Linked DNA regions of Pelodiscus sinensis. The protein of the gene in region 1 interacts with the protein of each later gene in a pairwise test. Links are inferred from orthologs where the notes say so. Each region holds a gene or a part of one and is shown in the gene's direction. Other genes may lie near its edges. The genes, in order: AP1G1, AP1B1, UBL7 and AP1S2.

Region 1 (7,671 bases):
CAGGAGGAAGAACGCCTTCTTTCGAAAGTGCTCTTTCGAAAGAAGGCGTTCTTGAAAGCAAACAGGCTTTTTAGAAAGAGAGCATCCAGACTCACTGGGTGCTTTCGAAAAAGCAGCTTGCTTTTTCGAAAGTTCCGCGTGCAGTCTAGACGCGCTCTTTCGAAAGAGGCTTGCAGTCTAGACATAGCCTCACACAGCAATCAGAAAGGCCAGGAACTGGGTATTCAGCTCAGAGGGTTTGAACAGACGCTAATCGTAAGCCATGTTTACTAGCAGGCTGTAGCCACTTCCCCTTGCATTGTCAGCTTCCAGCTGTTCGTAGTCTGGGAGTACGGGGAGTTGTCACTCAGACCTTGTCCCCTGCCCCTGGGGAAACAGCGGACACCCTAGCAGCCAGCCTGGTCTCTGCTGAGCAGCGCTCCCCTGGACCGAGTCAGGAGATGGAACAGCTGGCTGCAGAGCCCCGTTATTGCATATTCTGGAATCTTCCCAGAGTTTCCCTGTGAGCCCGGCAGGGAAGATGTGCCTGAGGAACCCAGGGGAGGCTGAGGCTACCAGCTCTCCTTCCCTCTGTAGTGTAACAGCAGAAACACCTTATTGCTCTGGCAACTCTCCCCCTTTCCCCCACCAAGACAGAAGCCCTGCAGACAGCTCAGGCTGGAACCTCGTGCAGGTCATCCCATCCTGCAAACCACAGAATCCCAGCAGGCTCTGCCCTGGGCTCCTCCACACGCACTCCTCTCAGCTTCTCCCACACTTACCACCTCCAGACTTTTCTGAAACCTGCCGGGACGCAGGCCTGCACTGCTCCCTTTCCCTTCCCTGCCTCCAGAGCAAGTGCAGTGTCCTAGCTAGTACTCTCCTGCCTCCTGTTATCCCTGCACCCTAACTCGCCCGCCTCCCTATGAGGCCCTGTGGTACAGATCCTCTCTGCACCCCCCACCCCCGAGCTGATCACATCCAGGCTGTAAGACACGAAACATTCTCACTCCACCACTGGGTCCCCCACACTAAGCCCCCGTTGGGCTGAGGCTGATTGCCCCACACCTGGACGGGGGTCAGAGGTGAGCAGGCAGGGGAGACTGTCCCTCTTGCTGACGGCCATTGCATTGGGTCAGGGTCAGGTGCAGCCTCACCGCCAAATCCGTGTTTGGGGGCGGAGGGGAGGGTTGCAGCATGAGCTCCCACTTCTGTTCAGACCGGTTGTGGTGACAGCACATGCCCATGTAGATAAGGCCTGAGTCCTAGCTTCAGTGAACTCTCTTTTGTGGAGCCTCAAAGACTCCGGCTGGTCAGACATCTGCTGCTCTGACGTCTCTCCTAGGCCACTCCCCAGAGTATCTCAGAAGTGTGATTGTAGCATATGAGTCACTGGTCACTTGGCCATCTTCCTTTTCCCCACCCGGGGAGGAGGTGTGTGTGTATGGGAGCTGGGGCTGAGCCCAATCCTCCCTTAAAGGGCCAGACACATGCTGTCAAAGAGCAGTATCAGTCTCAAAGCAACAGGGATGGGCAATAAAATGGCGGCAGTTTGCCAGGGTCAGTCCATGGCGGGCCACTGCTGCTATATTTTCACCAATTGTCTAGGAATGGCAATCCATGCCCAACCGATATCTGCGGAGGCACAGGTAAATATAGTGGCAGTGGCCTGCCACGGGCTAACCCTGGAGGGCTACGTCTACACTGGCCCCTTTTCCGGAAGGGGCATGTTAATTTCACCTATCGTCGTAGGGAAATCCGCGGGGGATTTAAATATCCCCCGCGGCATTTAAATAAAAATGTCCGCCGCTTTTTTCCGGCTTTTAAAAAAGCCGGAAAAGAGCGTCTACACTGGCCCCGATCCTCCGGAAAAAGCGCCCTTCAAAGTAGGAATAAGAGCCTCTGGAAAAGGGCGCTTTTTCCGGAGGATCGGGGCCAGTGTAGACGCTCTTTTCCGGCTTTTTTAAAAGCCGGAAAAAAGCGGCGGACATTTTTATTTAAATGCCGCGGGGGATATTTAAATCCCCCGCGGATTTCCCTACGACGACTCATGAAATTTACATGCCCCTTCCGGAAAAGGGGCCAGTGTAGACGTAGCCGTGGAGTGTATTTGGCCTGCAGGCCTGTGTTTGCCATCTCTGCACAGCAAGCTGGTGTTGTGAGAGAGCAGGGTTGTGGGTCCAGAAAGGAAGATTGGGAGCAAATAATTTTTTTACATTTATTGTTCTCACCTAGCAGAGCTCTCCAGTGGCTTTCCTATGCCATCACTGCAGCTGTCCTCTGCTTTAGCTCTTTCTCCTCTTTCCCTGCCTCCCTCTCACATCTTTCTTGCCCTCCTCCATCTGCTTTTACAAACTCTACTTTCTCTGTCTCTGCCACAATGCCTGTGAAACCCAGACAACTGCCAGTGGGTAGGCAGGTGAGAAGGCTCTTCTTTCCCTGTCTTTAGTCCAATTATAGAGAGAAAGGACCAAAATGAAAAACCATGCCCAGTATGCATAATTAATCAAACAGAGACATTTGTTTGTGTGTTCTATTTACACCTCCTACTATTCACATTTGTGTTATTAGATTGTAAGCCCTGCAATTAATGCCTTACAGATATCCTTCCAAATACTGTGTGATCAAAAGCTGTATTCAAAATTCCATAACCCCAGTCCCTCCCCTGTATGAACTCTGAGACCCAGACTCTGGCCACCCCATTCCAGTGAAGCGGGGAAAGGTTTGAACCCAAGAATTTCTTATTATGAAACACATAAATAACAGAACAGAAAACACATATTCCACTGGCAGTTTTGCTGATGTTGTGCATGAATTCAGTGTGCTAAAAATAGGCAGCCATGGAAATTCTGAATCCCAGAGGCGCAGAGCAGGGTTCCCTGTAAGCTGTGTGGCCACAAAGCTGCCTAACAAGCCCCACGCAGGGGCTCAGGGCTGTTATGCATGGAGTTGCCACAGCTGAGGGAGAGAAGCCTCTCCCTTAGCCATAGCAGCTCCCTGCTGGGCTGGAGGAGAGGTGCATTCCCCTGACCCCAGGAGCAGAGCCAGATTAAGAAAGATTCTGAGCTAGCCCTTCCTGGTGGGATAGGAGACGCCTCCGTGTGCTGCTGGGAAACTGTCCATTCACTGCCCTCGTTTAGATGCTCCACCTTGTCACTCCCATTGGCCAGGAATTGTGGCCAATTGGATCTGTGGGGGGATGGTGCCTGTAGTTGAATGCGGAGACATCTATTCCCGCCCGAAACGGGAGCTGCTCCAGGTAAGTGTCCTACACCCCAACTCCCAGATCTGAACTCTCTCCTGCGCTCCAAAACTTTTGGCCCCTGTCTGGAGTCTCCTCTTGCACCCCAAATACCTTATCCTCAGCACCAACACAGAGCCTGCACTCCAGCAAGGACCCTCAATCCCCTCCCACACTTTGAACCCTTCAGCTGCAGCCTGCCACCCATGGTCCATATGCAGAATAAATGTTATGTGCACCAATATGGAGGTGATCTGAAGAAGTGGGCTGTGCCTACGAAAGCTCATGATCCCATCGACATGTTTCGTTAGTCTATGAAGTGCTACCAGGTCATTGGTTGTTTTCTGTAACACACTAACTCGGCTACCCCCTGAAGCTTCCTATCGCCATCTTGGTGCACATAACAAAATTCATTCTGCACATGGACATACAAGGTGAGAGGTATGGTCGCCACCACCGGTGACGTTGGCGCTAAAAAGTGTCTCTGCGAAGGGCGGCCAGGTGGTACCTGCCTAAGGCAAAGCCCCACACGGCAGGGCAGTCCCATGAACTCGGGCCAGCTGGACACGCTGCTGGCCGGAGTCATTCATAAGAACGGCCGTACTGGGTCAGACCAAAGGTCCATCTAGCCCAGTATCCTGTCTGCCGACAGTGGTCAGCACCAGGTGCCCCAGAGAGGGTGGACCGAAGACAATGATCAAGTGATTTGTCTCCTGCCATCCCTCTCCAGCCTCTGACAAACAGAGGCCAAGGACACCATTTTATCCCCTGGCTAATAGCCTTTTATGGACCTAACCTCCATGAAATTATCTAGCTTCTCTTTAAACTCTATTATAGTCCTAGCCTTCACAGCCTCCTCTGGCAAGGAGTTCCACAGGTTGACTACACGCTGTGTGAAGAAGAACTTTCTGTTATTAGTTTTAAACCTGCTACCCATTAATTTCATTTGGTGTCCTCTAGTCCTTATGTTATGGGAACTAATAAATAAATTTTCTTTATCAGCCCTCTCCACACCACTCATGATTTTATAGACCTCTATCATATCCCCCCTCAGTCTCCTCTTTTCTAAACTGAAAAGTCCCAGTCGCTTTAACCTCTCTTCATATGGGACCCGTTCCAAACCCCTAATCATTTTAGTTGCCCTTTTCTGAACCCTTTCCAAGGCCAAAATATCTTTTTTGAGGTGAGGAGACCACATCTGTACACTGTATTCAAGATGTGGGCGTACCATAGTTTTATACAGGGGCAGTAAGATATTCTGGGTCTTATTTTCTATCCCTTTCCTAATAATTCCTAGCATCCTATTTGCCTTTTTGACCGCCGCTGCACACTGCGTGGACGTTTTCATTCCAGGGCCGGAACCTTCCTTCGCGGCGCCGGGCGGGCCCGGGCGCATCTCGCGGCAACACTCCGAGCGGGCACGAGAAGGTGTCTGACGTCATCATTGCCTGCCACGGCGCCGACTCAGCGCTCCTCGAACAGGAGTTTCACAGCTGCTTCCGCCTGGAAAAGTAGTTCCCAACGGCCGCTGTCCCGGTGCCCGCGAGCGGCCCGCTGCCCGGGAGAGCGATCGGCTGGGACCGCAGTGCCGGCGGGGCGCCCTCCCTCACGAGGTGGGGCCGGGAACGGCGAGGAGCCAGTCCCCGTCCTGCGGATCCCTACGCCTGCGGTATCGGTGCTGAGGCCGCGGAGCCGCCATTTTGGATGCCTGGCTCCTGCTACCGCCGCTTCCTCCGCTGCAGGGACCCGGCCCGGTGAGTGGGGGCGGGGGCGGGAAGGTCCAAGCGGCCCCGCAGCGCCCACGGCGGGACCCAGGCCCCGGCCCCCAGCGGCCCCGCTCGGCTCCCCCCCCCCCCGGGCTGGGCCCGTATCCCGCCCCCCCCCCGGGCTGGGCCCGTATCCCGCCCCGCTCGGCTCCCCCCCCCCCGGGCTGGGCCCGTATCCCGCCCCGCTCGGCTCCCCCCCCCCCGGGCTGGGCCCGTATCCCGCCCCGCTCGGCTCCCCCCCCCCCGGGCTGGGCCCGTATCCCGCCCCGCTCGGCTCCCCCCCCCCCGGGCTGGGCCCGTATCCCGCCCCGCTCGGCTCCCCCCCCCCCGGGCTGGGCCCGTATCCCGCCCCGCTCGGCTCCCCCCCCCGGGCTGGGCCCGTATCCCGCCCCGCTCGGCTCCCCCCCCCCCCCGGGCTGGGCCCGTATCCCGCCCCCCCCCCCCGGGCCCGTATCCCGCCCCGCTCGGCTCCCCCCCCCCGGGCTGGGCCCGTATCCCGCCCCGCTCGGCTCCCCCCCCCCCGGGCTGGGCCCGTATCCCGCCCCGCTCGGCTCCCCCCCCCCGGGCTGGGCCCGTATCCCGCCCCGCTCGGCTCCCCCCCCCGGGCTGGGCCCGTATCCCGCCCCCCCCCCCGGGCCCGTATCCCGCCCCGCTCGGCTCCCCCCCCCGGGCTGGGCCCGTATCCCGCCCCCCCCCCCGGGCCCGTATCCCGCCCCGCTCGGCTCCCCCCCCCGGGCTGGGCCCGTATCCCGCCCCGCTCGGCTGCACGCCCCCCCCCCCCCCCCCCCGGGCGCAGGGCCCCGGCCCGCTGGGGCCCTGGGCGCCGCCTCCGCCCCCCAGCGCCCCGCCGACAGCACCCGCCTCGCCCCTCTCAGCGCCTCTGGGTCCGCGCTGCGCCCCCTCAACTTCCCTGCAGGCAGCCGCACCGCCCCTCTCCCCGCACTGCCCGCACCCCGTCCCGCTGCTCTGCCCCTTCTCTTGATCTCCTGGAGTGGAGCCTGCTGCTCTGGCCCTGCTCTTCGCTGGCAGGTCGTTCGCCCCTGCGGCCCCGGGGTGGCAGCTCTCCTGTGCTAGCCCTTGGGGAAGAGCGCGTGTGTGTTCCTTTGGGGTGATGCTTGTGCACAGAGGGTAACACTGCACTCCTCCTCCTGTTTCCGAAGGTGAACGGAGTACTCTGCAGCTGTACTGCTCGAGGAGTTTTGTTTGTGCATAGCCCCATAATTATATCTATCTAGCTCTTGGCAGAGCAGACTGCCACAGTCCTGCCTAGACCAATTTACAGCAAGCTGCAGGTGCAGACTTTTGCTGCTGCTTCTTTAAGGGTTTGTTTAATTCTTTTTCAAATTATATGGCATTAGTTGTTGCTCGGGTGCTGATTCTTGGGTGTGGATTAATGCTTAAGTCTTTCCCAATATCAGACTTTGTCACTTTATACATTTTGATTTTTAAATGCTGTGGTGTTGTTTATTGCTGCACTTGATGTGTGACATGCTTGATGAAATGCTGTAGAAGCACTATGTCCTTTAAAGTGCTATATTGTCCTGCATTTTGCTTCAACTACCCCAGACTAACACGGCTACATTTCTATCACTATGTCCTTAGGAGAGATGGTGTATTGAGCAGAGCTTGACAAATGGGCTTGAAAAATATACTTGACACCTGCTTGCTTATTAGTCAGTGTGAAAAGTAATTCCGCTACCTTGGTTCCCTCCAGACCAAGCAATGCTGTAGTGCATTTTCACTGTAGTGAATTTTAAGTCAGTCTTCTATTTAGCATACTTTTACATAATAACTTTGTCTCCTGTTTGTATATTAACTTTTTTCCTTTTCTGGCTTCACTCCATTTTTCTCCCCTCTTTTCATTACTATATTATAGTGTATATTTTCTGGTTTTAATTGTCTGTTTTCTCTTTTCTTTCTCTTTTCCCCTCCCGCTACATCCCTTTCTCTCTTCATTTACACTGAACGCGCTACTGTTTGCACTTCAATTTTTTTCGCACTCAGTTGCCAGATTTTCTCTCATTTTCCTCACCCAAACTCTCTGCTGATCCATTCCCTCATCTACGGATCATGAAAACTTTATCAGACACCAAAGAGCTGGCAAGAGAGCTCAAATAAGATTGGAGACCCTGCTCTTGTCACCCCACAACACACTCCCTTTTCTCTCTCTCCCATATGCTGGGAGGGGAGGAGGTATTTAAATTACTAGAAAGACATGATTCCTGAATGTTTAGGAACTCCAAGTTCCCACTAGTAGGCTTATGATGAATTTGAGACTTCACCCAATAATCCTTTTCTTTTTCACATTCCTCTGCTTCCAACACAGTCCCCTGTCTGTTCCAAGGATAGGGTTTCTGCTAATCTAGCCCTTGCCTAGCTGCCTCCATGTTTTGGTGTCATAACTTCCCATGCTGTTGCTCTTTAGACTTGCCAAACAACAGAGGGACTATATATGATTCTTGTCAGCTTCATTGTTGCTCAGAGGGTTCTGAATAGCAGCAAAGGAAAACTGCTGAGACTGGTCACTTGTTACATCCTAGCTAGGCAAAGCTGTGAGCAGAACAGGAGGATTGGAGCTGTCAGTCTGCAGACTTATAAAGGAGTGCGTAAATGGTTCAGATTTGGAAAATTATCTTTGAAACCATGAGTACGAGAAACTTTTTAAAATGAATATTTTAAAGTCTG
Region 2 (7,843 bases), on another chromosome or scaffold:
CACATTAGTTATACAAGTAAATAGAAATCAAGTCTTTGGTTAACCCCAAAGGGAAGTATTCCTCTGTCCGTGGTATGAAACCCTTTAAAGAACCAAACACTGGTTACCAAAACTCCCCTCGCTTCCCCTCCCTCTGGGGGGCTGGGTTTCCAACAGCTACTGGCTGCATATGGAGAGGAAAGGTTGCAGGGAAGGAGGAGAGCAAAGCGCCAGTAAGAGCACAGGCCCTCCCCCGGTACACACAACCACATACACACTGCAGCGAACTGCAACCACAGGCAGGGACCTCCAGCCCAGCAGCCAGTGTCAGGTGCCCCAGAGGGAGTGAACAGAACAGGGAATCCTCACGTGATCCCTCCTGTGGCCCCTTCCCAGCCTCTGACAACCAGAGAGAAATAGGCACGTTAGCCCTGTCCATCCTGGCTAACAGGCATTGATGGGCCTGACCTCCATGAATCTAGCTAGCTCTTTTTTGAACCCTGATAAAGTCCTGGCCCTCACGTCCTCTGGCGAGGAGTTCCACATGTTGACTGGGCACTGTGTGAAGAAAACCTTCCTTTGGTTTGTTTGAAACCTGCTGCCTATCCATTTCATTGGGTGACCCCTCATTCTTATATGATGGGAACAAGTCCAGAACCTTTCCTTATTCACTTTCTCCACACCAGTCATGAGTTTATAGACCCCCCCATCATAGTCCATGTAGTCTCCTCTTTTCCAAGCTAAAAAGTCCCCGTCTTGTTTCTCTCTCTTCATATGAGACCTGTTCCAAACCCCTCATCATTCTGTTGCCCTTGTCTGAACCTTTTCCAATGCCAAGAGATCTTTTGGAGATGAGGCGACCACATCTGCACGCCGTATTCAAGCTGTGGGAGGCCTATGGGTTTACATAGAGGCAATAAGGTATTTTCTGTCTTATTCTCAATCCCTAGTGAGTCCTGTAACTACACCAGCACCTTCTGAAACTGACCTTGGGGCGGGCAATGCCTGTGAAATGGCTTCACCACCACAAGGAATGGCAATGGTTGTCCAGGGGCCCGGCCAGGCCGCTCCCTCTGGGGCCCCTGGCATTGGCCACTGTGGGCAGACAGGACCCTGGGCTTGATGGACCTTTGGTCTGACCCCGTCTGGCTGCTCTGATGTTAAATAAATTGGGACTCAAGGGGGTCCCAGCTCTTCCACCGCTGCATTTTCCAGGCTAAGCGTCCAACAGTGCGGCATAGAGGCGCCTGACCCTGCGGCACGTGGGGCTGCCTGAAGGAGTGCTGCCCGGTCTATCCACCAGATCGTACCCTTCTGGCCAGGGGGAGGACAAGGACTCTTACCCTCACAAAGGGCTTTCCAGCAGCATCCCTAGGGGTGCAGTTTTCCAAACGGCAGTGAAGTCAGCGACGGCAGGGCAGCAGCCCCTTCCTTTGCACATCCCTGCCCCGGTCCCAGAGGGGGCCCTGCAGAAGAACAAAGAAAAGGGTCACGTGAAAGAGTGTTGGGATTGAAAGTTTAAGCATAACAAGAGCTTGGCTCCTTTTGGCCCCTGCAATGCCTAGAAGCCAGCTCTGCTCTTCGCCGGCCTTGGGGCGAAGGGAGGGGGAAGGGGAGAGAATCTTGATATACCCAAAAGGGAGGCAGCACCTTTGGCTGCATGGATGCAAAGAACTACCTAGTTCTTATGAAAAACAGACATGAGGGGTCTGAGCAGGAGGCAGGGGAGGAGGGGCTGGAGAAAGGGCTGAGCATGGGGCACTTCAAGGGGGCTGAGGAGGGCAGGGGGAAGGGGCAGAGGGGTTCCCTGCTGACCCCGAAGGACTGGCCCTGGACTCCGACAGTGGAACCCGCATGAGTGGGGTGGCCGAAGGTGCAGCCCTAAGCCCCAAGGCCAACCCCGAGGGTCCGTGCCCCTGGGTCTGATGATATGGCCAGAGGATCCAAAAAGGCCATTGGGCAGGCAGCTGTCACTGTGGGGGCCGAGTCTGTGATGGAGACAGACTGGCCTTCCTTGAGTGGCACTGCGAGCAGGATCAGTGCTGGGACCGGTGCGGAGACCTTGACCAGCGTCACTTTGAGGAGCCGTCTGAAGATGCCCTAGATGTCATCAACTCCATGTGCGACTGAGGAGCACTCGGATGTGGACCACGGCAGTGCTGCAGAAGCTGCCTGCTCCCAGTGCTGGCAGTGGTGTGGCATGGCCGCCGGTTTCCCTCAGTGCGCCGGTGCCGAAGGGGGCAGTCACACGCTCCGGTGCTGAAAGCATCGGTGCCGGGAGGGCTGCACTCTGTACCAGCCCCGGTTCCTCTGTGCCATCACTACAGACGGTGCCGGACCAGACTTCCACACCGGTAGAGGAGGAAGTGGCACCATCCTGTCCCTGTCGCTCCTGGCCCCTCCGCACCACACAGCGTCGGGCCCAGGGAAGATGTAAGTTCAATCTATTCCCGGGCCGCCAGAAACAAATCCGGGGTTGACGGCTGTGGGACCCCTCAGGGCTACTCGCCTGCGCGGGACTCGACCTGTACCGATGGTGCGCGGGAGCGGCAATGGAGCCTCGGGGCGTCCCCCTCGCAGACGCAGCCCCGACCCGTCTCGAAGGTGATCTCCCTCTTCGTGCCTTCTTTGAGCGCTCGGTGCTGGGGACCGTGTGTCGCCCCAACGCACAGAGTGCCTCGACATGGACCCATGCCCCATGCCGGCCCGGGCGCTCCTCAGACGCTGGCTGCGGTGCCGCGGGTTAAAGCGCTGAAGTAACCTGAGTCTGGCGTCGCTCTCGTTTAGTCCTTGGTTGGAAGGTCTTGCAGACCCTGCGGGAGTCCGTTCGATGACCTGCGCCGAGGCGCTTCAAGCTCTCCTCGGGGGTCTCCGCAGGCATCGGGTCAGGCACCGCACGGCGTGAAGCCCTGGGCCCGGGGGGGGGGAAGGGAACTGCCTAGGGACTGCGCAAATCCACACAGGAGCCTCCCCGACACGCCTGTGGGACAGTACGGACACCGGTCAGAAGGGCTCGGTGGGCTCCTGGGGCGAGAGGAGCAAGGGGGGACAAGGGGGGGCGGGCTGGGGGGGCGCTGACCTGCCGGCGCCGCTCGGGGGGGGCTGGGGGGGGCGCTGACCTGCCGGCGCCGCTCGGGGGGGGGGCGGGGGGGGCGCTGACCTGCCGGCGCCGCTCGGAGGGAGGGCCGGGGGGGGGGGGGCGCTGACCTGCCGGCGCCGCTCGGGGGGGGCGCTGACCTGCCGGCGCCGCTCGGGGGGGCCGGGGGGGCGCTGACCTGCCGGCGCCGCTCGGGGGGGGGCGGGGGGGGGGGGCGCTGACCTGCCGGCGCCGCTCGGGGGGGGCGGGGGGGGCGCGCTGACCTGCCGGCGCCGCTCGGGGGGGGGCGCTGACCTGCCGGCGCCGCTCGGGGAGAGGGCCGGGGGGGGGGGCGCTGACCTGCCGGCGCCGCTCGGGGGGGGGGGGGGCGCTGACCTGCCGGCGCCGCTCGGGGGGGGCCGGGGGGGGCGCTGACCTGCCGGCGCCGCTCGGGGGGGCCGGGGGGGGCGCTGACCTGCCGGCGCCGCTCGGGGGGGGGCCGGGGGGGGGGGCGCGCTGACCTGCCGGCGCCGCTCGGGGGGGGGGCCGGGGGGGGCGCTGACCTGCCGGCGCCGCTCGGGGGGGGCCCTGGGGGGGGCGCTGACCTGCCGGCGCCGCTCGGGGGGGGCGCCGGGGGGGGCGCTGACCTGCCGGCGCCGCTCGGGGGGGGCCCTGGGGGGGGCGCTGACCTGCCGGCGCCGCTCGGGGGGGGGCCCTGGGGGGGGCGCTGACCTGCCGGCGCCGCTCGGGGGGGGCGCTGACCTGCCGGCGCCGCTCGGGGGGGGGCCCTGGGGGGGGCGCTGACCTGCCGGCGCCGCTCGGGGGGGGCCCGGGGGGGGGGCGCTGACCTGCCGGCGCCGCTCGGGGGGGGCCCTGGGGGGGGGGCGCTGACCTGCCGGCACCGCTCGGGGGGGCCCTGGGGGGGGGCGCTGACCTGCCGGCGCCGCTCGGGGGGGGGCCCTGGGGGGGGCGTTGACCTGCCGGCGCCGCTCGGGGGGGGCCGGGGGGGGCGCTGACCTGCCGGCGCCGCTCGGGGGGGGCCCTGGGGGGGGCGCTGACCTGCCGGCGCCGCTCGGGGGGGGCGCTGACCTGCCGGCGCCGCTCGGGGGGGGCCCTGGGGGGGGCGCTGACCTGCCGGCGCCGCTCGGGGGGGGCCGGGGGGGGGGGCGCTGACCTGCCGGCGCCGTTCGGGGGGGGCCCTGGGGGGGGCGCTGACCTGCCGGCGCCGCTCGGGGGGGGCCCGGGGGGGGGGCGCTGACCTGCCGGCGCCGCTCGGGGGGGGCCCTGGGGGGGGCGCTGACCTGCCGGCGCCGCTCGGGGGGGGCCCTGGGGGGGGCGCTGACCTGCCGGCGCCGTTCGGGGGGGGGGGGCGCTGACCTGCCGGCGCCGCTCGGGGGGGGGGGGGCGCTGACCTGCCGGCGCCGCTCGGGGGGGGGGGGTCCGGGGGGGGGGCGCTTCTCCCGCAAGCAAGGGCCCGGGCGGGGGGGGGCAGCCGGATCCCGCGCGGGGCCCTGCACGTGACGAGCAGCCGCGGCCGGGCCCGCGCGCCCAACGGCCGGGGCAGAGAACGCGCCGCCCCCAGCCACGCGCAGCGCAGCGCCCCGCCCCCTCTCGGCTGGGAGAGAGGCCCGACCGTTCAGCCCCCGCCCCTCCTCACTTGCCCGCCCGCGCGCGCTCCTGCCCCACGTGACGCCCCGCCCCTCCTCACCTGCCCGCCCGCGCGCGCTCCTGCCCCACGTGACGCCCCGCCCCTCCTCACCTGCCTGCCCGCGCGCTCCTACCCCACGTGACACCCCGCCCCTGCCCCGGAAGTGCTCCCCGCCCGGGCGCTCACTTCCGCGGGGCCGCTGGAGGCGCAGGCAGCGCAGGGAGCCGCGAGCGGTAGGTGGGGGGGCCCCGATCCCGGCCGCACGCGCCGAGCCGAGCCGTCCTCGGGCCAGTGCTGCCCCCGGGGGCTCGCCCGAGCGGCTGCGGCTCCTTCGCTTTCCCGCTCCCGGCGCCGCGCTGCGGGGGCTGCGGGGCCGGTGGGTCGGGGCTGCCTGGGCGACAGGCGGCGACTCCCCGTCCGGGCAGGGCCGCATCGATCCGCCTCCTGCGGTCACATCTGCGGGCGAGCCGTGCGCTCCTGCGCGGCCTCTCCGGCTTTGCTGCAGCGCAGGCTGCCCCGCCTCCCCCTGCAGGTGTCTCCCGGCGGCGGGGCCGGAGGCTACTGCTGCGACTAGGGATGTAAAATCCCATGGGTTAAACACTATCCAGTGCCCCTGCCCAAGCTTGCTGAGGAGGGGGGCTGCCCCACCTCCTGGCCACGGCCCCACCGGGCTTGAGCAATTCCCTGCTTGCTCCTGCCCCTGCCTGTTATCCATAGCCGGTAAGTATCCCCCAGTGAGGGCGATGCTTACTGGTTAACTGGTTATATCCCCAGCTGTGAGCCCTGCTCTCTGCAGGGTTTGGGGGCTTCTTTCCCCATTCCCACTTGTGCTTTTCTGAGGACTCAGGCCACCCCCTTCTCAACAGCTTCCCAGAGCTGAGGGCAGAGCAGCTGGTGGATTTGGGGAGCTTGATCGTTACGGGAAGGACTGTGTCAGTGGAAAAACTGGTGTCTGGGCACGCGAGACTCCATGCTCATGTTGGAGAGGGCTAGACTTGTCCCGTGTAGAAATCCGTTGACCTCAGCTGGGCTTCTTGGGGTATAAATGTGGCTTATAGGCTGCTTTCTCACAGCTGCTGTGGTGGGCTCTGCATGCCACTGGAACATGGCACTCGCTACCTGCCTTACTCCAGCAGCAGAGGCATGGGCTGCAAAGTTGCCAGTCGGCAAAGCGCTGGTTTGGGAGAGGAAGTGCCCTGTGTGTATGTTCTGTGGCAGCTAACGCTACTGAAGAGTTGGTGATGGCAGAAAACTGGCACACTCCGGCTCAGCTAGTGGAACTGCCTGCTAGAGGTGTATGTTCTAGGGATGTTAAATTGCAGTTACTCAACTACAGTAGTTGATGGAATTTCCATGAACTACTCGATTAGTTGATGAAGGGGGAAACTGCAGAGCTGCAGTGGGACCCCTCTACAGCTCTGCCTTTTAGATGTATATTAAGTGCCGGATGCATTTAAAAGGCAGAGCTGCAGCAAGGGGAACCAGGCGAGAGCCGGGACAGCTGATTCCTGGTCCCCATGCTACGCCTCTGCCTCCCCTGCCCCCCAGGCAGCAAGGGTGGTGGAAGCGACTAGTTGAGTCTCTGCATGCTTATCAGGTAGTCGACTAGTTGCTTACATCCCTAGTACGTTCTGCTGTGGCTGGGCTCCTCCCCTGCTCACCTTCTAGGATTCCGACAGCTCGTCGGATGCGGGTCAGATGTAACTTGATTTCGCTGCCACCCAGAGGCGTGCATAGCAGCACGGTCTAGGGCAGCTGTTCCTTGATCTGAGGGCTGGCTGGGCTTGCCTCCTCTGGCTGATGGGTTCAGTGGTGCTTTAGAGACCACTGCGCTGTGGTGCCTGCCCTTTACCTTGTCTCTGAATGCCTGGAGGTCGGTGAGGCCTAGGAGACCCTACTGTTTGTATTGGAGTCCCGGTGTGCTAGATGCTGCCCACACACAGTAAGTACTACAGTCCCTTCCCCAGAAAGCTTATGGTCTATGCAGATAAATCGAAGGATTGCAAGGGAAACTGAGGCACCGAGCTTTACTGTGACTTGCTGCAGGTCAGGGGCAGAGTCAGCATTCCACTGTGAGTGTTCCACTTGTTCTCACTAGTGTGCTAGAAGCGGCTTTCCAAGCGGTCTAATCGCCATGTTTGTGACTTCAGACCATCTTGCTTGTCCTCAGATGCTCACTTCTCTCTGCCTCTCCTCTCTCTCTGGAAAGTCAGCACTGTCGTCATTAAAAGCTCAACATCGTCCACCGTAAGCTCTGTTAACCCTCTGCCCCAAACAGCCAGGCTGTTATTCAGCAGAGTTCCTAGAGTGAAACCTGAGCTTGTGGTTTGTGGCTCCCACCTGACTTGTGGTTTCTGGTTTGTGAGCAACACAAACCTCTGCAGCCTAGAGTCACAGAGCACCGAGTTCCCTGCTGCTGTCAGGGCCACCACGGCGCAGGCTCAGCAGGAGCTCTCGCAGCTTGGGATGGCAGTCGATTGTTAAAGAAACTGTAACCGGGCACTGGAGTTGGGGCAGGGCTTCTCATTTGCCTCTGGGGTAGAAGGAGCCCTGGAATCTCAGGGTCACTGGCTTCTTTCCATCATTCAACTTGACTCCCAGAATTCCTGGCTTCACATTCTAGCCTGCTCAAGTAGCCGGGACCAAGTCTCGGGTCACAGCCATGTTGTCAGGGTTGAGGCTTGGCTGCTTACAGCCTTGTCCAGGTGTTCTGGAGAGGAGAACAGAGTTCCACTAAAATGAGTTGCTTTAAAGTTTGGTATCCGTCTGTTTCCTTATAATGCGCACGTGTGGCCCCCTTCTGTGACGTAGTGGGGGTACTTGCTGGGCTGTGGTGACCCCTGCTGTCTGGAGCAAGACCCAGCAGGGAAAACCTCACTATGCAAAGGTGATGCCAAACTGGTTGAACCAGATACCCCCCATGGAGAGGAACAAAGGAAGGTGAAGGCTGCCCTGGCTGGGGGGGCAGGGCTGGAGGAGAGTGAGTTTAGTTGGTGTCTGGGAGCATGGAGGAGACAGCCTAGGGAAAGGGACTGGAGTTTAGGGGTCCAGTCTCCCCCATCTCAAGGGGGCCTGAGGCATCCTAGCCCAGCTCTGTGACCAGATTCCATCTGTGCTGTGCTGTATCCTGGAGAGGCAAT
Region 3 (7,178 bases), on another chromosome or scaffold:
CTCTCCCTGTATCAAGTGCCTACCAACCACTCCTGCTACAGTTGGGAACAGAACAGCAGCCTCCCCTTCATCTCCTCCCCCACCCCAATAGAGTTGTTCACCGAGGGTCTGTCTGCACAGCAAAATTTCAAAATAATTTTCCTAGCGTCTACACAGCCAAACCACTATTTCAAAATTAATTCGAAATAGTAGAGCGCTTATTTCAAATTTGGTAAACCTCATTCTGTGAGGAATAACACCAAATTCGAAATAGCTATTTCAAAATAAGTGCTGTGTAGACACTTATTTCAAAATAGGGGGCTTCCAGCCTTCCCAGGGTGCCCTGGTGGCCACTCCGGCCTCAACCAAGAACACTTCTCTTCCCCCCCCCCCCCCCCGCCCTTAAAGAGGTAGACTCTGGCCCCGACCCAGTGGTCCCAAAATATGAGCCAGCAAGCCACTGGCAGCCAGCCCTCCACCGCTCCTCACAAGCAGTCTGCCAGCTTTCAAGACCTGCCAGGACTCCGAGAAGACAGGTACCTTTCTGGTCCAGGGTGGAGATCATGGACCTTATTCCCAGGAGCAGGTTTGCATGACAATCAAGTTGGTCTGGCATGGCCACCTACCCTGAAAGCCCCCCCACCCTTCCCCCTTCCAGCTCTGCCTCCTTTCCCCAGTTTCATTCCCTCCTCCCCACTTGTTAAAGAGTTTGTGTTCATGAAAATGTGTATTTTGACATAAGGAAGGGAGGGGTAAGTGGAAGGATGAGGGAGGAATGAGGCACAAGCTCCCAGGCTGTGTCTATACTGCACCCCTTTTCTGGAAAAGGGGATGCAGATGAGACAAGTCAGAATTGCAAATGAAGTGGGGGATTTAAATATCCCCCGCTTCATTTGTATAAACATGGCTGCCACTTTTTTCTGGCTCAGGGCTTTGCCGGAGAAAAGCACCAGTCTAGACGGGATCTTTTGGAAAATAAAGCCTTTTCTGAAAGATCCCTTATTCTTCTTAAAATCAGGAATAAGGGACCTTTTGGAAAAGGCTTTATTTTGGTCCAATAAATAGACCAGCAGCTTGAGTCAAGACTGCCAGGTTCTGCTTGGCTCTACAGGGCAAGCTCAAGCAAGTCATTTTCCCCTCAGTCTCATCCCCATTTTTGCAGGGGTTAAGACACCAGGTGGATAGTCTCAACTGGTGCTCAGGCAGGTCCATAGTTACTTTGCTGTATCAGTTCCTAAATGACAGGGACATAGAAATGTGTTTAAGCATTGTAGACTTTAATACAAAGAGTCAAAGTTTGATAACCAGGAACCACCAGGCCAGCACTTTAAGTGTGGCCTTATTCCCAGGCCAGCTGGCATTTGCTTAGGTTGGCTAGTCATTCCTGTCTAGACTGCTTGTAGGCAATGAAATATGGCTGAGAAATTCCTCATGGAATGATTCAACCCAGGGCACACAATGAGTGAAAAACCAAGGATATATGCTACCATATAAAATGAATTACGAGATTCTGCATTAACATGAGCTTTTTGCTCCTTTTCTCCCCCCCCCCCCCAAGTATCTGGAGTGCTTTTAGTCTGAAAAGGAGAGCAAATAAGTTTTACCACCAACCATTCAGACCAGCTCAAGAAGTGCCCTCCACCCCCATCAACTACTCAATTAACCAAGAGTTAACACCCCTAATTAGGACATCCCAGTTTTCTTGAAAACGACATATAGCTATCTGAATGGATGTCTATTGCAGGTTCTCGTATCTTAGTTGAAGTAGCAGAATGGACCTTTAAGTCAAAAAAAGGAAATTTTCAAAAAGCTAAAAAATGTTTACAAAAGAGCAGCCTAAAAACCCATCCTAATTCCACTTATTAGCAAGTTTCCCAGTTTTGACTCAGCTCACAGAAACAGTACCACACATTTTAAACCACAGAAATTTATTAGTTTGCCTTGAACAAGGAGCTGTCAATCGTATTACAGTTATCAGCTGTCGGGTTAGTTACAAATCTACTTGTGAGATGCCATTACATCAGAGTTACAGAGTAAAGCCAACAACCCTTAGCCTAGTCTCCAGCCCCAGGGAATTTATAGCTCAAGAGGGGAAAATAGAGGATCACTACAGCCAGCCACAGGAGAACTAAAGCCTAACAGGTAACTCTCTCTCTCTCTGCTAATACTGTTCACGGTAACCTTGGTCACACGTGCCCCACCTGTAACAGAGCTTAAGATGCACAGGGTATAGTTACTACACAGTACATCAAAGGAAGAGTCAAGTTAAACGTAAGGGGAGGCGAGTAAGTCAAACAATATTGGTCCAACATGAAAGGCTTTTTAAGGGCAAAGGTTACAAAGAACTACTCCATTTGGTAAATACATTGGCCCCAACCAGGATACCCGAAGTAACCCCATCGGCAGAGGCCGAGCGCACCTGCCGGGACCCTCTTTAGAAGCACTTGCGATGGACAATGGATGGGCCAGACTCATCGTACTCCTGCTTGCTGATCCACATCTGCTGGAAGGTGGAGAGAGAAGCCAGGATGGAGCCACCGATCCAGACGGAGTATTTACGCTCTGGCGGGGCAATGATCTTGATTTTCATAGTGCTGGGTGCCAGGGCCGTGATCTCCTTCTGCATTCGGTCAGCGATGCCAGGATACATGGTGGTCCCGCCGGACAGCACGGTGTTGGCATAGAGGTCCTTTCGGATATCCACGTCACACTTCATGATGGAGTTGAAAGTGGTCTCGTGAATGCCACAGGACTCCATCCCCAGGAAGGAGGGCTGGAAGATGGCCTCGGGGCACCGGAACCTCTCGTTGCCAATAGTGATCACCTGCCCGTCAGGCAGCTCGTAGCTCTTCTCCAGGGAGGAAGAGGAAGCGGCCGTGGCCATCTCCTGCTCGAAGTCCAGGGCGACGTAGCAGAGCTTCTCCTTGATGTCGCGCACAATTTCCCTTTCGGCCGTGGTGGTGAAGCTGTAGCCCCTCTCGGTCAGGATCTTCATGAGGTAGTCGGTCAGGTCCCGGCCGGCCAAGTCCAGACGCAGGATGGCGTGAGGCAGGGCGTAGCCCTCGTAGATCGGCACCGTGTGGGTGACCCCGTCCCCGGAATCCATGACGATACCGGTGGTTCGTCCGGAGGCGTACAGGGACAGCACGGCCTGGATGGCCACGTACATAGCCGGGGTGTTGAAGGTCTCAAACATGATCTGCGTCATCTTCTCCCGGTTGGCCTTGGGATTCAGGGGGGCTTCGGTGAGCAGGACGGGGTGCTCCTCGGGGGCAACCCGCAGCTCGTTGTAGAAGGTGTGGTGCCAGATCTTCTCCATGTCGTCCCAGTTGGTGACGATGCCGTGCTCGATGGGATACTTCAGGGTGAGGATGCCTCTCTTGCTCTGGGCCTCGTCGCCCACGTAGCTGTCCTTCTGCCCCATGCCCACCATGACCCCCTGGTGCCTGGGGCGCCCCACGATGGAGGGGAACACGGCTCGGGGGGCATCGTCCCCAGCAAAGCCGGCCTTGCACATCCCGGAGCCGTTGTCGACAACGAGGGCGGCAATTTCCTCATCGGCCATCTTGATTCAGTCTGCGGGAGACACAACGAGGGACAGAGGCGGGTTAGGGCCGCGCCCGGCCGCTCCCCCCGCCAGCCCGACGGAAGCGGCCGCGCGGGCGGCGGAACCAAGATGGAGGATCGGAAACCAGCGCGCGGCTCGGAGCCCGGAACAGGGCGGGGCCCTCCCTGGCGGCGGGCTCCAGCCGCGCTGCCGCCGGCCCCAGCGACGAGCCCCCGCCGGGCCGCAGCGGAAGTGGGGCGAGCACGCGCACATGGGCCCAGCGCCGGGCCCCGCTCGCCACCCGCCGCCCCCAGGACCCGGACACCCGCCAGCGCCGGGGGGGGGGGGGGGGGTCACGAGCCCAAAAGCCGCGGGCGGCGGGACGGGCCGCAGCGGAAGTAGTTCTCCTTCCCTTGCGCCCCGCCCCCCGGGCACCCGACCAGCCCCGGCCCCGCCCTTGGGGCACAGAAACGCCAGCCCGGCCCGGTACCTGCGGCTGCTCACTCACGACCGGCACCAGCTACAACCGCCGTCTCCTCCCACAGCCACCACGCGCTCCGCTTTATGCCCAACGGAACCGGAAACCCGCCGCCGTCCCCGCGCGCCCATTGGCTGCCGTGTTCCCGCCCCGCCTCTTTCCTCCCTCCCAGTCAGAACTGCCGGGCGCGAGCTAGGCTCGTGCCCCGCAGGGGAAGCCGCGCTGCATGCCGGGAGCTGTGGGTGCGCCATGTGGTAAGCCCGGGTTGGGTCTCGGCCTGTAAACTGCAGTTCCCAGCATGCAGCGCGCGGAGCCTGCCGGCATTTCCTGTTTCCGGAGACGGCGGTCAGGTGAGTGTAAACATCAGTGTCGATCCTGCCCCGGGCCCCCCGCTCCTGGCGCCGCTGGGGGGCGGGGCTTGGGGTCCGACAGAGACCCCCGTTCTCGGATCCCATGGGCCGGGGCAGGAAAGGCCCCGCCTGGGCCGAGCTGGGCTCCGTGGTGGGGCCCCCGGGCGATTTGGGTTCACGACCCCCCGTGTTGGGGACTAGGGCAGAGGCCCCAGAGCGGGATTCAGGGCGCGGCTGGGTGCAGCCCTCCCAGTGATGTCACCCCGCTGACAGGGTCTCACCTTGGTTTGTTTCCTTCCCTTCGCAGCCTCTTCTAGGTGGTTTCCCCTCCGCGACAGGGAGACGATGTCTTTATCAGAGTGGCACATTGCAGTGAAGCTGGCAGACCAGCCGCTGGCCCCCAAATCCATCCTGCGGCTACCGGAGACCGAGCTGGGAGAGTGCCCTTTGGGTGGGTGCAGCATCTCCTACCTCAAGCAGCTCATCACCGGAAAGCTCCAGGAGTCAGTCCCAGACCCAGAACTCATTGGTGAGTTGCTGCTTGTCTGCAGCACTTGGCCTTCTTAGGCCTGGGAGCATGACCAAATTTCATACAACAGTTTCAACTGGCTAGAGTGTCTTTGCTTCCAGTGTTGCTGTATATAATTCTAGTTATTATAGACACTTTAACCATCTTTATTTTCCAGGTTGGCTTGTAACAAATCCTTCCAAACAGGCAGGATTGTAGCACCTGTCTGTGCTATGAGATGTACTTTGTACCTGACACCAGTAGAACTCTGAGAGGTTGGACAGTTCTTTTAAACCGTGTGATCCTGTGAGGATGCATAGCCAGGCTGGTGTCCTCAGTGTCACGGTCCCCTTGCATTGAAATGTGCACATGATTATGCCATTGACTATTGAAGAGTTGCTACATCATGTGGCAGGCCAATGGTCAGGGCTGGATTAAGTCTTCTGAGGGTCTGGGGCTATTAGATTTTGTGGGGCCCCTCTAAGTTCCAAGGTGGGGCCAAAAATGAGGCATTCAGAGTGTTGAGGGGATAGGGATAGGGCTTTGGTTGTGGGGGGGTAAGGACTTCAGCAGGGGAGTTCAGGCTCTGGAGTGGGGTGCAGGAGGGGGCTCCAGGCTGGGCCCAAGCGGTTTGGAGTGCAGGAGGGGCTCAGGGCAGGAGGTTGGGGTGAGAGTGCAGTGTTTGGGCAGGAATGGGTGCAGTAGGGGAATCAGGGCTGGAGCAGGGGGTTGGGACACAGGTCACTTACCTGGGTCAGCTCCCATTTGGCACAGATCCAAGGGAGAGGAGTGGGCAGGTGGGTCTGAACACTGCCCTGTGCTCACTTGCAGGCCCTGCCCATTGCAGGTCCCATTGACCATGATTGCTGGCCACTGGGGCTGTGGGGGTGGAGTCTGCAGGCGAGAGAAGCGGGTGGACAGAGCTTCCCTGCTCTTGCAGCTCCAGCTTGGCGGGGTGGGGGGGGCAGATGGCAACATGCTCCCCCCCCCCTTTTGCTAGACAGGGATGGAACCCAGGGGCTTTAATGGCTGCAGCCTAGGGCTAAGGAGGGTCTGGAAAAAAATCTGCCTTTTTGGTGGGTTGGCGATCGTTTTGCGGGGCCCCTCCTTAGCCCAGGGCCTGAGCTGCAGCTCCTAAAGCCCCTTAATCTAACCCTGGGGATGGCACACCTGGAACAGTACTTATCCCATACAGTCCAAGGTAGGGGGCTCTCTATAGGAGCAGCCTGTGTTCTAGATCTTTGCTTTCTCTTTCTCAGATCTCATCTACTGTGGCCGCAAGCTGAAGGATGACCAAACACTTGATTTTTATGGCATCCAGTCAGGCTCCACTGTTCATGTCCTGCGCAAGTCATGGCCTGAGCCAGATCAGAAACCAGGTGAGAGAGAGGATGCCTGGATGTGGACTCTTCACTGTGTAGATGTGTGGTGCTGATCCCTTAGGGTACGTCTAAACTACATGGCTCCGTTGACAGAGCCATGTAGATTTGTTTTTTTGGCAAAGGCAAATGAAGCCGCGATTTAAATGATCGCGGCTTCATTTAAATTTACATGGCTGCCGCGCTGAGCCGACAAACAGCTGATCAGCTGTTTGTTGGCTCAGCGTACTAGTCTGGACACTCCCCTGCCAACATCAAAGCCCTTTGTCAGCAGCCCCGGTAAACCTCATCCCACGAGGAATAACGGGGCTGCCGACAAAGGGCTTTGATGTCGGCACAGGAGCGTCCAGACTAGCACGCTGAGCCGACAAACAGCTGATCAGCTGTTTGTCGGCTCAGCGCGGCAGCCATGTAAATTTAAATGAAGCCGCGATCATTTAAATCGCGGCTTCATTTGCCTTTGCCTATAACCCTAATCTACATGGCTCCATCGATGGAGCCATGTAGTCTAGACACAGCCTTATAGTTGAGACAGGGGCACATACTCCTGCTTGCCTCTTGTAGGGTCCCAGGCGTAGTGGAAGGAGGAGAATTCCTTCGGATTGATCTGGTGTCTTCTGTGAAAACTCCAGCTTCAAAGGAAGGGGAGCTCCCTGTGTCTGCTTCATGCTGACATGGGAACTGTGAAAGCATCCCCACTGCGCGTGGAGACAGAACCCTTAAAAGAGTTACAGTCAATTACACTGGTTCTGTTGAGGACCAAAATCCGATCATTCCTTTTACTCTCTTTAATCTGCTTTGGGAGCCTTCAGTGGTCAGCATCGCACCAGGTAAATTAAAGCAGCGACACTGAGATTGCCGTAACAACGAGGAGTCCTGTAGCACCTTAGAGATAAACAGATTTATTAGTGTCTAAGGTGCCCCAGGACTCTCTGTT
Region 4 (7,907 bases), on another chromosome or scaffold:
ATACAATTACAGAGGCTTACAATATAATTTAATACTACAGGCTACAGATGTAGTAAGTAATACGCACAGCATCCTACAAGCATTTAACCAAATCCAAACAAACACACTCTTATAAACTTCACATCTATATTAATAATGCTAACACACAGGTGATCAGCTATGTATTTGTCACTGCTCTGAGGGCTAATGCCCTCGGCATGAGCTGGCATCTGGTCTGTCAGTATCAATCTCTCCTGTTGAAGCTATTTCACTTTAAGGCTACATCTACACTGGCACATTCTCACGCAAAAACTCTTTTGCGGAAGAGTTCTTCTCCGAAGACTCTTCCAAAAGAGATCGTCTACACTGACATGTGCTTTTGCACAAGAGCATCCATGCCAGTGTTGACGCTCTCTTGCGCAAGAAAGCTCTGACAGCCATTTTAACCATAGGGCTTTCTTGCACAAGAAATCCATGTTGCCTGTCTACACTGGCCCCTTGCACAAGAGGGCTTATTCCTGAGCTGGAGCATCACAGTTTTTGCACAAGAAGCCCTGATTTTATACAGTAGAATGTTCGTTTACTCACACAAGAATACATGGCCAGTGTAGCCAGGCAGCAAGTTTTTGCGCAAGAGTGGCCGGTTTGGCACAAAATCGCGCCAGTGTAGACACAGCTAAAATATCTGACTCCATGAGAGGGGCTCTCAGGTCTGGATCACTAGCAGAGATAAGGACCTCCCTGCATCCAGGACTAAACTGAGATAGCACATCTACATTAGTGAAGCTTGTCTTTTGAGGCTTCCCTGAAGTGTAGATGTGCTATTTCAAAATAAATTATTCTGGAATAGCTTATTTTGAAATAAATGTGCAGTGTAGACATAAGTGCCTACCCCAGGCTTTGTGGATCCTAGTCTTGCTCAAAGGTTTTCAAGGCACCCAAAAGTTAAACACCCGTTGTGGATGTTGTCTTCTTCTTTGTAGTCTTCAAGCTTGTGATCAACTTTTCTGTCGAGTTTGGCTTTACACATTCCTTTCCTTTCATATGTTAGGTTCTAGACTAACAATTGTCATCTCAATATTAGAGATGAAGAAAGTAAGGCACAGAAAGGTGTGAATAATTTGGTCAACAGTAAATCACTACTAGAACTAGGGATTAGATTCCAGTTTTTGCTCTAACTGCTACACATCATTCACTTACTTGCCAATAGCTTTAATTGCTTTAGAAAGCATCAGTTTTTATATAGTCTTTTTTTTACTACTGTTATTAACTACGTAAGTTTAATAAATTACATGCTTTTGGAAAGAAACAGTTGTAGCAGCAGAAGTTGTTACTCCAAACACTATTTGGAAATGTTTCCTGCCATTTCATAAGATGTTGTAATCAAAAGTACTTGAGAAAAATTGCAAATATATTTCCCTTTCTGTGCCTTACTTTCTTCATCTCTAATATTGGAGGGGGGGGGAAGGACAATTACTAACAACTGTAGTGTTGAAATTTAAGTTGTTTGTTAAAGCACTTTGAGTTGCTTATACAGAAGTTTCTTTAGAAGGTCAGCCAGTACATTCTATCATCCCCATTTTTACTTTCTCTTATTCCTTCTGTACTGAAATTTTGTATGTAGGTTCTTAACTAAAAAGGTGTGAAAGGGAGGGGAGAAGAGGGGGAGGAAAAGAATTTGAGTTGTTTGAGCTATGTGATTATGGAAAAAACACTTCCCCTCCATACACTAATCACTATCATAAATTTTGCAGTCTGATATAATTCAAACCTCTGACCAGAGGCCTTACAATTACAGTAAAACTCTGATAGTCCGGCATCCAACTGTTCAGCACTCCTGATAATCTGGCATCAAAATGCCAACTGCTCCTGGCCAACTGATTAAAAAGCCTGCCGCTCAGCACATGTGCTGGCTGTAACCAGAGGGAGCATAAGGTTGGGGGAAGGAGAGGGGAGAGAGAGAGTGGGATCCTGTTACAGTATGGAGAAGAGCATTTTGCTTCAGGGAAGGGGAAAGGAGAAGGGAGGGGAAAGGAGATTGTGTCCTGGCCAGCTGTTAAGCCCTGCAGCTGTACCGGAACTCCCGATTCTTCAGCGAATCTGATAATCCGGCACCACGTTGGTCCAAAAGGTGCCAGATTATTGGAAGTCTACTGTACTTTTTGAAGCTCAACTGTCATTCAAAAAGGTGACACAAAAAGTCTGTTGAGTAGGTTTTAAATTATGCATGATTAAATTCAGCAGTTTTGCACATGGACACAATCTAGTCCCAGTTTTGCAGACTCATTGCAGCTATGCATTTGTTTAAAAAAAAAAAAGCACACACACAAAACCCTAAGCCACCCCATTTATTTCACTAAGGGTTTGTCTAGACTACATGGCTCTGGCGACAGAGCCATATAGATTAGTTTACTAGACATACTCAAATGAAGCAGGGATTTAAATAATCACCACTTCATTTAAATTAAAATGACTGCCACACTGAGCTGATCAGCTGTTTGTCAGCTCAGCGCGCTAGTCTGCATGCTCCGTGGTAGACATCAAAGGCATTTGTCGACCGCCCTGGTAAACCTCATCCCACGAGGCATTTGGGTATGTCTAGTAAACTAATATACATGGCTCTGGCAATAGAGGCATGTAGTCTAGACATACCCTAAGACAGTGGTCCCCAACTATTTGAAGCTGCTGGGTGCCAGGGGGCAAGGCCATTCGCCTGCTAGGCGCCAGAGAGCAGGGACACTTGTGCACACGGGGGCACGCATATGCCACACCTCCCCATGATCCACGTGCCTGGGGCCAGCAACCCTATGTGCCACGTGGCCACGGGTGGGGCCGCCCATTTGCAGCAAGCCTAGGGCCAGCACTCTGCAGAGCCATGCACCCAGGGCCAGCACCCCCCCCATAGCTGTGTGCCCAAAGCCGGCACCCCCCCCCATAGCTGCGTGTACAGGGGCATGGATGCCAATTTGCCGCAATACTGGGGCTGGCGCACCCTACAGCTGCATGTCCGGGAGCTGGGGCAGCCAATTGGCCACGCTCCTGGGGCCAGCACTTCCCATAGCTGCACGCCTGGGGGCCGGGATGGCCAATTCGCCATTCGCCTGGGGCTGGCACTCCCCATGCGCCATGAGCCTGGGGCCGGCTCCAGCACTGCACATGCGCCACACGGCGCCAGCCCCGAGCACTCGGCGGGAACACACAAATGCCCCAGTGGGAGGACCATTGCCCTAAGGGACTCACAAAACGTGTAGATGGTACCTTGAGTTTTCATGGGCACAGCCCCCTTCTTCATATGAATTGGTTTGAAGAAGAGGGGTGTCCCCACAAATGCCCATGCTAGCAGCTACACGCTTTGTTACTCTCTACGGTGCTGCAAGACTAATCCTTGTTTTTTAAGTTTTCCCAGTTACAGACTAACTCGGCCAGCCCTCTGCAGCCTTTGGAAATGGCCAGTTGCCCTGCCTTCACCCTGAACAGCCACTGAGAAACCCCTGAGGCAAAGGATTCAGCTTCCTCCTTCCCCCACCCATTCACACCAGCCTCCCCAGGCTCCCGCTCTGGAAACACCCGCAAGACTCTATCAGCTGCCTAATAAGTTTCCCTTCGGGATGAGTGGCGCATGCGCAATAAATACCCCTGGCTCAGCCACTTCCGGCTCTGTGGTAGCGGAATTTATCTCCAGCTTCCTGATTGACTGATGTCATTTTCCTATCTGCGTTTCCGTCGGTGATTGGATACCGCAAATAAAGGCTCCGTCTTTGATTTTTCTGGTTGGTTGCTGGACTCTCTTTTTCACCCCTTTTGTGGTCCCGTCTCGATGATTGGCTCCTTTCGTTCCCTCACGCCCTGCCCAGAGCGCCCGGCTCGCTCATTGGCAGCTGCTAGGCTACCTCCCGGCCTGCCTATGCGTCCGACTCGCTGACTGGCTGCTCCAACCGCTGCCCTCCCACAGCCGGGTGCGCGCAACTCCCCCCGCCCTTCTTTCCCTCGCGCGCGCGCGCGCGCCTCTGTTCGCCGAGCTACTAAAGTTTTGCGGAAAGAAACTGCTCGCTCCTGCCCCCTCCCTCCCGGGCTGCTCGCCGCGCCCGGCCCCTCCCTCCCGGCTCGAGCCCGCCCTGGGGGCGGTTGTTTGTTTCTCGCCCAGCTGCGCGCGCGCCACGAGCTCGAGCCGGAGACTCCCGGAGGCTCCCTCCGCCCGCCCCGCGCTTCTTGCCGCCGCCGCCGCCTCCTCCTGTGGGCACGGTAAGCGGCTGCGGGCCCGGCCGCGAAGAGGCGTTGGGGTGTCCCCTGGGGGTGGGGGTGCTGCTCGGGCAGGGACTCCGGGGTATAGACCCCCCCCCAGCCGCTCGGCGCGTGTGGCCCCGGGGAGTTAACGGGACCGGGGGGGGGGGGGGCTGCGCAGGGTTCTCTCCTCCCGGTGTGTGCGCGGCGGTAAAGCGAAGCCACCTGCCTGCCCCGGGCCCTTCTGCCCGGCCGGGGCGTGCTCCGGGCCCGGCTCGTGGCGGGGGGGCCGAGGCGGTGCTTTGCCCCCGGGCGGCTCCGTTTCTGCAGCCGCTTGGGACCGAGCATCCTGCCTGCCCTGCCTCCGGGTCGGGTTGAGGACTTGGGGAGAAGCAGACCCGTCCGACAGGGGGGTGCTGGTGCGGCCCCTCGCTCTTCCATTCAACAGACCTCAGAGGCCAAACAAAAAAAAAACCCCAACAAAAAACAGAAACCCCCCCAAAAACCCCCCAAAAGTACGTTCGGTCCCATCATCGCAAGAAAACGCGCTGCAGATAAGTGGTTTCTCAAACATCATAGTCCCATCACACCGTGTGTGTGGTGGTGGTGGGGAGGGGGGGGCGTTGCGACCTGGCACAGCGGTCCTTAGCCGGCCTCTTCATTTTGTTCCATTTTCCTTGTTGGTCATACGGGGAAAAGGGTTGCCTCCTCCTAGGATGTTAGGAGTCTTAATCAGTGTCTTGCAAGCGCTTTCACACACTGGAATAAATTAACAATGGTGTGGAAAAAAGTGTTCTTCATTCAATGCCTATAAGCTAGTCGACAGTGAATTTAGATTTTGACGTTAGGCAGGTGATTGTGCATTTTTTTTCCATTTGTCTACAGTGGAACAGCTGTGTTGATGACCGTGAGTATCAGCAAAAATATGTGAATGCGCTAGTGCTGAACATGGCTAAAGCTGCAAGCACAGACTTATGTGTTCAGCATCTGGTGACATTAACCTCTGTTTTTGAAATTCCTGAACACTGTTTCTTTGTCTACATGTTACTCTTGAACATCTTCACTGTTCAAACTGTTGTGGACATCTTATCAACAGTGCTTCATTTTTCTATATAGAACATGCTTTAGTTAAGACAGTGGTCACCTCTTAAAATATCTTGTAGATAGCTTTAGCATGTCAGTCTTTGATACATCTCATTTTCAATTGTGTTTGGGGGAATATGTGGTTATCTTTTTCTACATTAAAATATTTTTCAACCAATGAAACTAATTTTAAACTATTTGCATTCAGTACAGCTGATCAAATAATTACACTTTTATTTGTTAATTCAACAGATGCAGTTTATGTTGCTTTTTAGTCGTCAGGGGAAGCTGAGACTTCAGAAGTGGTATGTCCCATTGTCTGACAAAGAGAAGAAAAAAATAACAAGAGAACTTGTTCAGACAGTGCTAGCTCGTAAACCGAAAATGTGCAGCTTCCTGGAGTGGAGAGACCTGAAGATTGTCTACAAAAGGTGGTTCTGCCTCACTAAGCTTGTAATTATTAGATGTAAAAAATAATAATAGAAGTGGTATGTTTTCTCCCTTACTGGTTATGAAAACAGGCTCATTTTGAGCTTTTTCTTAGATCTAATTTGATAATCTAATAGGAAGCATTCATGTGTAAAGAGCACTCATGCGTTTAGAAATGTGCTGAAGAACAGAGATTAGATTTTCTTAAATTTGAGAGAATGATTCTTTCTGGTTCTGTGTTCAGCACTAAGTAAAACAAGACATACAAATAGGAAAACATGTATGATTTAATGGATATTTAGAATGATTAAACTCTATGTAAATATGTTTATCTCCAGCAGTGGATGATTTAAATTGGTTTCAACATAATTGGTTCTAAAAGGCCTCATATATATGAATAAGATTAGATTTTTGCTATCAGTAAAAAAATATTTTTTCACTTTGAGAAATCAAGATCAGTTTTCTATGGGTGAAAATACTATGCAGTTTTCTTAGAAAGCTCTCTTTGTATCTGTTTACAAGCAAAATACTAAGGTGGAATGTTTTGATTCTGCAGACCTTTTGAATGTAATACAAAACGGCAGTGAAATTGCTTTTCTCCAAAAATTACAGTAATTGATAATTCATTGAGATGAAAGAAATAAATGCATCCTGCCAAAAGCTAATTTTATAAAAGGAGTTTCATTCTTTCAGTTTTAATATTTAAGTAGGAAAATCAGGGAACATCAGAGGTTTGTTTTTAGTATTTACTGTAATTCTTTCTTGGGCTATAAATGTTTTGCTCTACTGTTGTTGACTTTTCTGTTGATAGCATAGATTTCTCCACCTTAAAAATGGAAATGAAATTATTATGTAAATAATATTGATGTATTGTGGCAAATAGTATAGCTATATTCAAGAAAGAATTTGACACTTAAGCCACGGTCCTGCCTTTTTGTAATTGTGTATACCTTTATTCATATCAGTCCTGACATTGATTGTCAGTCTAAAACATGTGAGTAAAGGTATGCTTATATTAGCAAGATCAGTGCCTCAGAATGAAAGAGGATATTGTATCACTTGAAGCATGCATATAGAATGTGTGCCTTTTATGTCTTGCTAATTGATCATGGAACATTTCTAGGCAGTACTTGAGAGAGGGGGTATGCATACATACTTTGAGTCCTTATAACCTATTAACAAAGATCTATAGTATCCATTGTAATCACTAGTTTCATTCTCCTCACCAACAGGTGGAATTAAGTTGAGGAATTTATTAAAACAATTGCGTTTGTAGTTTTTTTTTTTTTATGGAAAATTATTTGATGTTGGGGAAGTAATTTAATTTTTCCTTTGTTTATTTTTCCTTGTTTTTCTTCAGCTTTGGATAGTCATGGTTCTTGTGCAGCTCAAAGAATACTACTAAGAGGACTGTGTTTAAGTAGTGATAGATAAAAAACACTTAGGCTGCGTCTAGACTGGCAAGTTTTTCTGCAAAAGCAAGTGCTTTTGTGGAAAAACTTGCCAGCTGTCTATACTGGCCACTTGAATTTCCGCATGTAAGATTGTCAGTGTTCTTGCGGAAATGCTATGCTGCTCCCGTTTGGGCAAAAGTCTTTTTCCAAAAAACTTTTGCGCAAAAGGGCCAGTGTAGACAGCAGATATTTATTTTCCGCAAAAAAAGCCCCGATTGCAAAAATGGCGATCAGGGCTTTCTTGCGCAAAACCGCTTCTAGATTGGCACTAACGCTTTTCTGCAAAAAGTGCTTTTGCGGAAAAGCATCCATGCCAGTCTAGATGCTCTTTTCCGCAAATGCTTTTAACGGAAAAACTTTTCCGTTAAAAGCATTTGCGGAAAATCATGCCAGTCTAGACGTAGCCTTAGTCTGATAGGTATAAGTGTATTTGGCATTGGGAGAAGTACATTTTCCAAATATACTAATGAAAAGCAAATGGAATAAGCAACCTCTGGTGGCCCAAGAGCAGCCTTAAAAGGAAGCAATCCTTCATATTGGGAGAGGTTTTGTAGACTTTGTCATAAGCAGGTAGCCTAAAGAAAACCAGACACTCTATAGTAATTGACACACTTTGGCAAGAGTTATGATCTTCGTTAGCAAGAGATGCAAGTTTGATGATGCTACAGAGGATCCTGAACTAATCCGCTATCAAGTTCTGCCATCTATCCCATTTTTGGTGATAGTTTGGATCATGTTTGG

Evidence for each region.
Region 2: the proteins of AP1G1 (region 1) and AP1B1 interact in a two-hybrid assay, tested with the Homo sapiens proteins (2 studies listed by BioGRID, with this or other methods). The link is inferred for Pelodiscus sinensis from reciprocal best matches to the Homo sapiens genes AP1G1 and AP1B1.
Region 3: the proteins of AP1G1 (region 1) and UBL7 interact in binary tests that used the Homo sapiens proteins (3 or more experiments, as listed by UniProt). The two-hybrid records come from large-scale screens. The link is inferred for Pelodiscus sinensis from reciprocal best matches to the Homo sapiens genes AP1G1 and UBL7.
Region 4: the proteins of AP1G1 (region 1) and AP1S2 interact in binary tests that used the Homo sapiens proteins (3 or more experiments, as listed by UniProt). The link is inferred for Pelodiscus sinensis from reciprocal best matches to the Homo sapiens genes AP1G1 and AP1S2.

Annotation. Positions count from the first base shown.
Region 1 is NW_027466015.1:561,257-568,927, reverse strand, and holds the start of AP1G1 (AP-1 complex subunit gamma-1), read left to right. Parts: upstream 1-4,663; 5' UTR 4,664-4,974; intron 4,975-7,671. UniProt on the Homo sapiens protein: Subunit of clathrin-associated adaptor protein complex 1 that plays a role in protein sorting in the late-Golgi/trans-Golgi network (TGN) and/or endosomes.
Region 2 is NC_134725.1:5,452,330-5,460,172, forward strand, and holds the start of AP1B1 (AP-1 complex subunit beta-1), read left to right. Parts: upstream 1-4,840; 5' UTR 4,841-4,936; intron 4,937-7,843. UniProt on the Homo sapiens protein: Subunit of clathrin-associated adaptor protein complex 1 that plays a role in protein sorting in the late-Golgi/trans-Golgi network (TGN) and/or endosomes.
Region 3 is NC_134724.1:35,548,873-35,556,050, forward strand, and holds the start of UBL7 (ubiquitin-like protein 7), read left to right. Parts: upstream 1-4,168; 5' UTR 4,169-4,302; coding exon 4,303-4,354; intron 4,355-4,661; coding exon 4,662-4,883; intron 4,884-6,121; coding exon 6,122-6,241; intron 6,242-7,178. Other genes in the region: actin, cytoplasmic type 5, read right to left, coding at 2,414-3,544.
Region 4 is NC_134711.1:211,493,039-211,500,945, forward strand, and holds the start of AP1S2 (AP-1 complex subunit sigma-2), read left to right. Parts: upstream 1-4,893; 5' UTR 4,894-5,101; coding exon 5,102-5,107; intron 5,108-5,535; coding exon 5,536-5,714; intron 5,715-7,907. UniProt on the Homo sapiens protein: Subunit of clathrin-associated adaptor protein complex 1 that plays a role in protein sorting in the late-Golgi/trans-Golgi network (TGN) and/or endosomes.